2 linked regions of the Oryctolagus cuniculus genome follow. The protein of the gene in region 1 purifies or fractionates together with the protein of each later gene. This does not show direct contact. Links are inferred from orthologs where the notes say so. Each region holds a gene or a part of one and is shown on either strand. Other genes may lie near its edges.

Evidence for each region. Proteins that work in one complex are often made in the same cells at the same time.
Region 2: the proteins of SLC22A15 (region 1) and VAPB purify together in Homo sapiens (co-immunoprecipitation; 3 studies listed by BioGRID and IntAct, with this or other methods). This does not show direct contact. The link is inferred for Oryctolagus cuniculus from reciprocal best matches to the Homo sapiens genes SLC22A15 and VAPB.

The regions. Positions count from the first base shown.
Region 1 is NC_091438.1:54,447,709-54,451,451, reverse strand, and holds the start of SLC22A15 (solute carrier family 22 member 15), read left to right. Parts: upstream 1-1,358; 5' UTR 1,359-1,458; coding exon 1,459-1,554; intron 1,555-3,743. UniProt on the Homo sapiens protein: Organic zwitterion/cation transporter with apparent specificity for amino acids and their derivatives. Has low affinity for its substrates and may regulate their flux across the plasma membrane at high substrate concentrations.
Region 2 is NC_091442.1:3,793,122-3,796,780, reverse strand, and holds the start of VAPB (vesicle-associated membrane protein-associated protein B/C), read left to right. Parts: upstream 1-776; 5' UTR 777-1,001; coding exon 1,002-1,059; intron 1,060-3,659. UniProt on the Homo sapiens protein: Endoplasmic reticulum (ER)-anchored protein that mediates the formation of contact sites between the ER and endosomes via interaction with FFAT motif-containing proteins such as STARD3 or WDR44.

The DNA of each region.
Region 1 (3,743 bases):
ACCCACAGACAAAAGGTTCATCTAGGGCGGCCTCCTCCAGCTTTGGGTGTCCACTTGGCAGCTTTTCCTAAGGTTGGACGGGGCTCCCTGTTCCAGGAGCTTTCGGTGCCCCATCTGGTTAAGTGGTTCAGCCCCGAGGCCGGCCCGCTGAGGCGTTTATAAGCTGGAGAATGCCGTCTACAGTGTGTGGGTACAACACTGGGTACCCTTCCTTATTGTTGAGAATTCTCAGACCCTACTTGCACACCCCAACCTAAAAACGTAGGTTCCATATGCCAAAGGTGGCCACAGATTAGCTTTGCCAGGCCGTTTGCTCCTCCTTGGCCAACTTAAATGGCCTGTTGACATCCGTTGCTTCTCTCAATATTCTAAAGGCATTTCATTTACAAACCCTATGTTAATGTCAATGGTGAGCCTACTCATTCCTTCAGTCAGTGCATACAGTGAGGACCTAATATGTGCTGAGCACAAGAAGGCCATGGCGGGAAAGTCCCTGCCCTCTGGAAGCTTGCATTCTAGCGGGTGGGGCAGGCAGGCAGTTAACCAGGTAGTTACAGTCCAATGGGTGCTAACGGTTATTCTGCAGGAAGTAAGGAATGGGCCTGGGTAAACTCCCAGGCAGCTGGTTGCTAAAACATTGTATAAGGCAATGGCTCAACAGGAAGATGGGGCAGGGTTGTGTGGGGAGGAGGAGTTGACTTAGTGATTCTCTTTGTACGTAAAATGTTGAAGAGCGCCATTGATTTCATCACCAGCTAGAAAAAGATCATTCAAATGATAGATTGATCTTGGAATCAGGTGCAGTTCTCAGCTCAGAAACATGCTGCATGAGGCTGCAATCCATGCATAGTTTTTTCATGAGATGCCACTTCTGTGAAATTTTTGAAATACTCTTAGTGTCCTGAAGTTTAAGCTTGCTGCTTTAGCTTTAAATGCACTTTTCCAAGGGAGAAAAAAAATGTTCTTGCTAAATGACAAAAGAGTGCTTAATGCACAGAAAGTAAAATTGCGACCATGAAGCCTACTCTTTCTTGTTCTGTTCTAATCAAGAGTTAAAGAACACACTTCCTCCCTGAGCAGCTCCAGTTTCCCCCCTCCCTCTCTGCACCCTCTGTGTCCTGTGTCATCGTGAGCCCTGTCCCCCCACTTGGAATAAGTTTGTTTCCAATGGCATGTTCTGGACTCAGGACCTTCAAGTTTACCTCACCTGCTCCTGTTTATGGTTGACCTCACTGGTTAGCATTTGCTAATGAGTTCTAAGCCCACAGCTGTAATTGTTCAATAAACCTTAATGGACATATGGTCAGTATGTGGCATACAAAGACCAGGTTGTAGTGTGAGAATGAGTGACTCACTGTTTATCTTGTAGATGGGGCCTGGGAGGTGCCCGTAGCTGTGTGTTTGCCAGTGGAGGAGCCGTTCCAGTCCAAGCAGAAGAGAATCCCTGTCAGCTGCCACATGTTTGTCACCCAGCCCACTGGGCTGCATGGTCTCCATAGGGCCCCAAGCTGTCCTGGATGTGAGAGTGGAGTTCCTGAGACACCTCTCTGCCAAGTCTGTGGTTGGAGGTGTTTTGGGCTTTGGGGGGGCCTGCCTGTGGCGTAGGAGGACTAGGAGTTGCCATTACATGCTTGCGTCTCAGACGATTCTTGGGGATGAGGCGTGGCTTCCCACAACAGCAGGAAAAGCAAAAAGCCCTTTTCACTGACTTGGCTTCCATGGAAGGAGGTTGCTGTTTTCTTGCCATTGTTCTGGAAAAATGTGAACCAAGTGCACATCAGCACTGCCAGAGAGGGGGCCTCCCCTCTGCAGGGGTCATTGCTGCATCTGTGGTTTGGTGACGACTCAGCCCCGCTGAGCAGCACAAAGCTGTAGAGGCACGGAGATGGAAACCACACAGATGCTTTTATGTGATCCTCTTCTGGGACTCTTTTATATATATATATATATATATATTTAAGATTTATTTATTTATTTGAAAGTCAGAGTCAAGGACTCTGAGAGAAGGAGAGACAAAGGGATCTTCCATCCGCTGGTTCACTCCCCAGTCGGCTGCAATGACCAGAGCTGCGTTGATCAAAAGCCAGGAGCCAGGAGGTTCTTCCAGGTCTCCCAGCTGGGTGCAGGGACTCAAGGACCTGGGCCATCCTCTACTGCTTTTCCAGGCCATAGCAGAGAGCTGGATCCAAAGTGGAGCAGCTGGCACTTGAACCGGCGCCCGTATGGGATGCCAGCACTGCAAGTGGTGGCTTTACCCGCTATGCCCTGTCATTATATTTTAAATGCCTTTTAACTCCCCTTATGTCAGACACATCCAAGTTCAAACTAAAAGGACAAAACCACACGGCGAAGCCAACTGTGGAAGTCCTTAGGTTAACTGTTTCTTGAATGATTGATGCCATCATGTAGATGATCAAAAGTATCCTTGCTATCCAATTTCCATCGACCGAGAGACTTCCTTTCACACTCCTTGCCAACACAATTGGCAACTTTCATAGCGGTCTGTTTCCGGATATATAAAGAATAGAGGCAGATTTCTCTTTAGCATTGTAAGAAGAAAATGCCTTGATAATAGTGGCCAGTGGTTTTCAACTACATCAACAAAAAGTTAAAGAAAAAATATGTAAAAATGTTATAAATAAGCAATAAGATTGATAATTTGACAGCTACAGAAATTCTTACCTTCAAAATGGACTTGCCCTCTCCTAGGGTCAGAGCTGTTTGTGGTATTTAAATGTGAATAACTATCTAGGTTGTTACTGTTTCTTTTCTGATGGTGATTCAGAGTTGAAGCCATCCTCAGCACTGCTGCGAATGTGTGTGTGCCTGGCTGTCCGTGGAGGAAGGTGGGAATACAGTCCTTTGGTTTTCATTCTTGAAATGAAAATGGGCCTTTCTTTGTTCTAAGCCAGAGACCCCAGCTCTCTTACTTTCCTCAGATCATGAATCATATATTGCAGTATAATTTGCACAGAAAGTAAGACATCGAGTGATAGGGACATGTAACCTGTAAGAGGCCTTGGTTTCACCAGTGGAATTGTGATGCTGTGTCATGAATCTCGTCTAGTTTAGGAATGCATTATTTTCAGGAAAACTTTCCAAAAGCTTCAACCTTACTTTTCAGATCCTGGGACTATCAGTGTGCTGGTATTATCCATGCAGTATCTTTTTGCAGCATTTTAGAAAGTGGAGTGATTGGGCGGGTATTTTGCAGAGGAAGAAGCTGTAGTATTCAATAAGTGAAAAGATGTTTAACTTCAGGAGTCACCTGGGATGGGCATATTAAAATGACTAGAAAATACCATTTCACACTTAACGTGTTAGCAGTCTAATAGTACAGGTGGGATGAAAATGAAGAGAGGCTTCTGGTAAAATTACAACTTAGTGTTGGATACCTAGGTCATTCACCCTACCTGAACATGTGCTCATGGGGGCATTTATTGTAGCACTGTATATGATAACAAGAATTAGAAGCCACCTAAATGATTTTCACAAGGGAACTATGTAAAATGTGGTATAAATTTTGCAAATACAACAGCTAAAATGAATGAACTTGATTAATATACAGCTATATGGATGAAAATTTAAGCAGGGTGATATGTACAGTGTCATATGTCTGATTGAAATTTCAAAAGTGCCCAAAATAACACATTTGGTTTAAGAATAGATGTAAGCAACGCAGAAGTATAAGCACTTGCCGTGGAGGGGTCTACACCTGGCTCATGAACTTGGTTGCCCCTTTG
Region 2 (3,659 bases), on another chromosome or scaffold:
AGGGGGGGCCGGCCGAGCGCACCCGGGACCGCGTACCCGACAGGCACCTCCCGAGGCACCCGGGACCGCGTGCACAGGGGCCGTCGGGGTGACAGAATGAAGTGGCTCTAAAGGCAACAAGGATGCCCAGCGTCCACTTCCGAGGGGACGCGGATCTGGGCCCCGGCAGCGTTCAGCCACGCACTGCGTCTGCCTCTCCGCACCCGGCCACGGTCGCGGGGTGCAGATCTGCCCCCTCTTAGCCGACGGCTTTTCTACACATCTGTTACATGTTTAACGCACAGTGGCTTTTACGTGAAAAGCACCCGGTAGAGCGGCGGAAAACGAGCGGGCAGTAGCTGGCAGTTGGTTGTACCTCGCCCGGACCGCGCACTTTCTAACAAGTTCCTCCCCCAGTGTTCACAACCTCGGCGCCTGGCACCGCGGGAGCCAAGTGCAAGTGTGCATTAACTGTCCCCGTCCCGCTGGTGGTCGCCACGGCCGGCCCCCAGCGGGCCGTCCACCCGCAGCCTCGGCCCTGGACTGCCGGCCCTGCAGGGCACCCTCCGACCCCGCCCCCGAGCGCCGCCAAGCCCCGCCCCCCGAGGCAGCCCCGCCCCGCGCCGGTGCCGCGCCTGCGCGCCGGCCGCCCCCCCCCCCGCGGGCCTCCGCGCGCGCAGCCTCTGGCCCCGCCCCCCGGAGCCGGCGCAGGGCGCAGCTTCCCGCGGCCCGAGCCAGCCAGCCGGCCGGGTGCGTGCGTGCGTGCGTGCGTCGCGGCGTGCGTGCGTGCGTGCGTGCCGTGAGCTCGCCGGGCACCGCGGCCTCGCCCTCGCCCTCCGCCCCTGCGCCCGCAGCGCGTCGGCCGCCCCCGCCCCGCCCGCCGCCCCCCGCCGCGCCCGGCCCGCGCCCCCGCCGCGCCCCCGCCGCGCCCCGCTCTGTCGCTCTCCCGGGGGGCGCGGCCTTGGCGCTCGCGGCGCAGGTGACCTCTCGGGTCTGCTGGCCGGAGGTGCCCGCCGACGACCATGGCGAAGGTGGAGCAGGTCTTGAGCCTCGAGCCGCAGCACGAGCTCAAATTCCGAGGTAAGCCCGAGGCCGCCGCCGCCCCGCGCGCGCCTCCGCCCCGACGGCGCCGCTGCGGGGCCCGGCCGGCCGGCGGGGGCCTTCGAGGCCCTGGCCGAGGCCCGGGGCTGCGCCGGCCGGGAAGGGGCCGCGGTGCGCGGCGCCAGCCTGGCCCCTGCTGCCCGGCCCGCTGCGGACAGCCGCGGGGGCCAGGCCGAGAGGACCGGGCCTCGCCAGGCGCGGCCGACGTCCAGCACGTGCCCGACGGCGCGGTGCAGGCCCTCCTGTCCCCAGGACAGCCTGGCGCTGGGCACCAGGAAGCCGCGAGCCACACCTCCCCCGTGGGAGGCTCCCGCGCGGGCCGCTCCGCTGTCACGCGTTCGTGTCCGTGTCCCGGGACCTTGTCTGACTTGGCGTTCCCGCCCAGCGCACGTCCTGGGCGTGGGTGGACAAGACGGACGAGGCCTCCGCCCTCGGAGCGCTCCCCGGCCGCCGCAGGACACCGGATCCCGGGAGGAAGTGGCGCTGGCCGACTGGACAGGTCGGCGTGGCCCGGCCAGCAGCGGGGGCTCCGTCAGGCGTCTGCGCGGGGCTGGCCGCGGGCACCGGCTTCTGTGGCCTGCGGTGCCCAGTTGGCAGACGGGGCACGTGGACCCCCGCTTCGGAGCGCGCACTGCCCGTTGTGCTGCCCGACCCCTGGGCCTCGTCCGGAACTGTGGCTGCTGGAGTCCCGGTGGAGCGTGGAGTGACCCCGAGGTGGGAGCCCGCGGCGGCCTCGCGCCTTCGGTGGGAACCCAGCAGAGGCCACGGGGACCCTCGCCCCGCGGCCTGCGGCTGCGCCTGCGCATAGGGCAGACGTTTAGGGGAAGCCACGCTTTCCAGTTGCGATTTTTTTTTTCCTGGGAGTGAGTGAACTGCAGCTCCCAGTCAGCCAGCGCCGCTGCCGCGCGTGTTTCTGCACGCGTGGGGTGTGCGGGGTCCGGCTCCGTGTGCGTGCGCGCTGCCTTCGTTCGGTGCGTCTGGGCACGGGTGAGGCAGGCCAGGCAAAGCCGTGACTCGGGTGCGCCCGAGATAACGTTTAGACTCGACCTTGTCGTCACCCGACGTTGGGTCCCTCCGGGAGAGCGGCGTGTGGCTCGACCTGGTGAAGGGGCCTCGGGACGGGCGTCCAGGGAGCCGACGCGGACGCGACGAGCTGTCTGCAGTGCTCCGGATAGCTGGCCTGTGCGCCCCTGGGAGTTGGCGCCTCCGCGCCTGCGGTCCACGGACGTTTCCCGAGTGCCTGTCCCACGCCAGAGGAAGCAGGACGGCCCCACTCGCTGCCTCCAGCGCTTGAAGTCAGGAGGCGGTGGTGGTGCGGCCATGCGAGGTGGTGCCGGGTGCCCCGGGCGATGCGAGGTGGTGCCGGGTGCTCCGGGCCATGCGAGGTGGTGCCGGGTGCTCCGGGACCGGGCCGTCCGAGCTGCGCTGCGCGGGCGCAGTGGAGGCAGGCGGGACGTGGGGGCCCTCCCGCGGGGCAGGGGTGCCGAGTCAGCTGGTTTCCTGGGACACGGCGGCGTTCCCACGACGGCGGCAGAGGACACCTGTCAGGGTTGCAGGACGACGTGCACACAGGGTGGTAGTGGACAGGAGGTGCCGCTGCTGTCCAGGGGGAGGCGACTCCCCCCACCCCCGGCCCTGGTGCTGTGTCCTCCTGTGTGACGTCACGGAGAAGGGCCCTGGTGCAGAGAACTCCAGTTTCTGTCCCGGTTCCTCACGTGAAGATGCGTGAGCTCGGGCTGACCAGGTCACTTCCAGCGCCTGGTGCCACTGGTGACTTACGGGGTGACACTCGAGGCGGCCCTGTCTCCTGTGGAAGTTTGGAGGGAGTCGCGGTAGAGGTGTTACCCTGCTCGCAAAGTGCGTGGTTCTGTACGGTGGTCAGCGGTTGTATATTACAACCCTGGAGGTGGTGGGCGGTGGCTGAATAATACTCTATGGAGGTCAGAGGTCAGCGGCTGTATATTACCGTGTGGAGGTCAGTGGTCAGCGGTTGTATATTACCGTGTGGAGTTCAGAGGTCAGTGGCTGTATAGTATTCTATGGAGGGGGTGGTCAGTGGCTGTATGATACTGTGGAGGTCAGTGGTCAGCGATTGGATAATACTTTATGGAGGTCAGAGGTCAGCGGTTGTATATTACCGTGTGGAGGTCAGTGGTCAGTGATTGTATTATACTCTGTGGAGGTCAGAGGTCAGTGGCTGTATAGTACTCTATGGAGGTGGTGGTCAGAGGCTGTATAGTACTCTATGGAGGTTGATGGTCAGTTGTGTAATACTCTATGGAGGTCAGAGGTCAGTGGCTGTATAATATCTATGGAGGTCAGAGGTCAGTGGCTGTATAGTACTCTATGGAGGTGGTGGTCAGCAGCTGTATGATACTCGGGAGGTCAGAGGTCAGTGGCTACATGATACTGTGGAGGTCAGAGGTCAGCAGCTGTGGAATACCCTATGGAGGTGGTGGTCGTGTTGTACCGTATGGAGTACTGGAAGCACAGGGCTGTAGAGAGTGCCAAATGCCCAGTGCCCTGTGCAGGTTGGCAGGTGTGCGGTGCTGTACGGAGGACTGAGTGCAGGGCTGTAC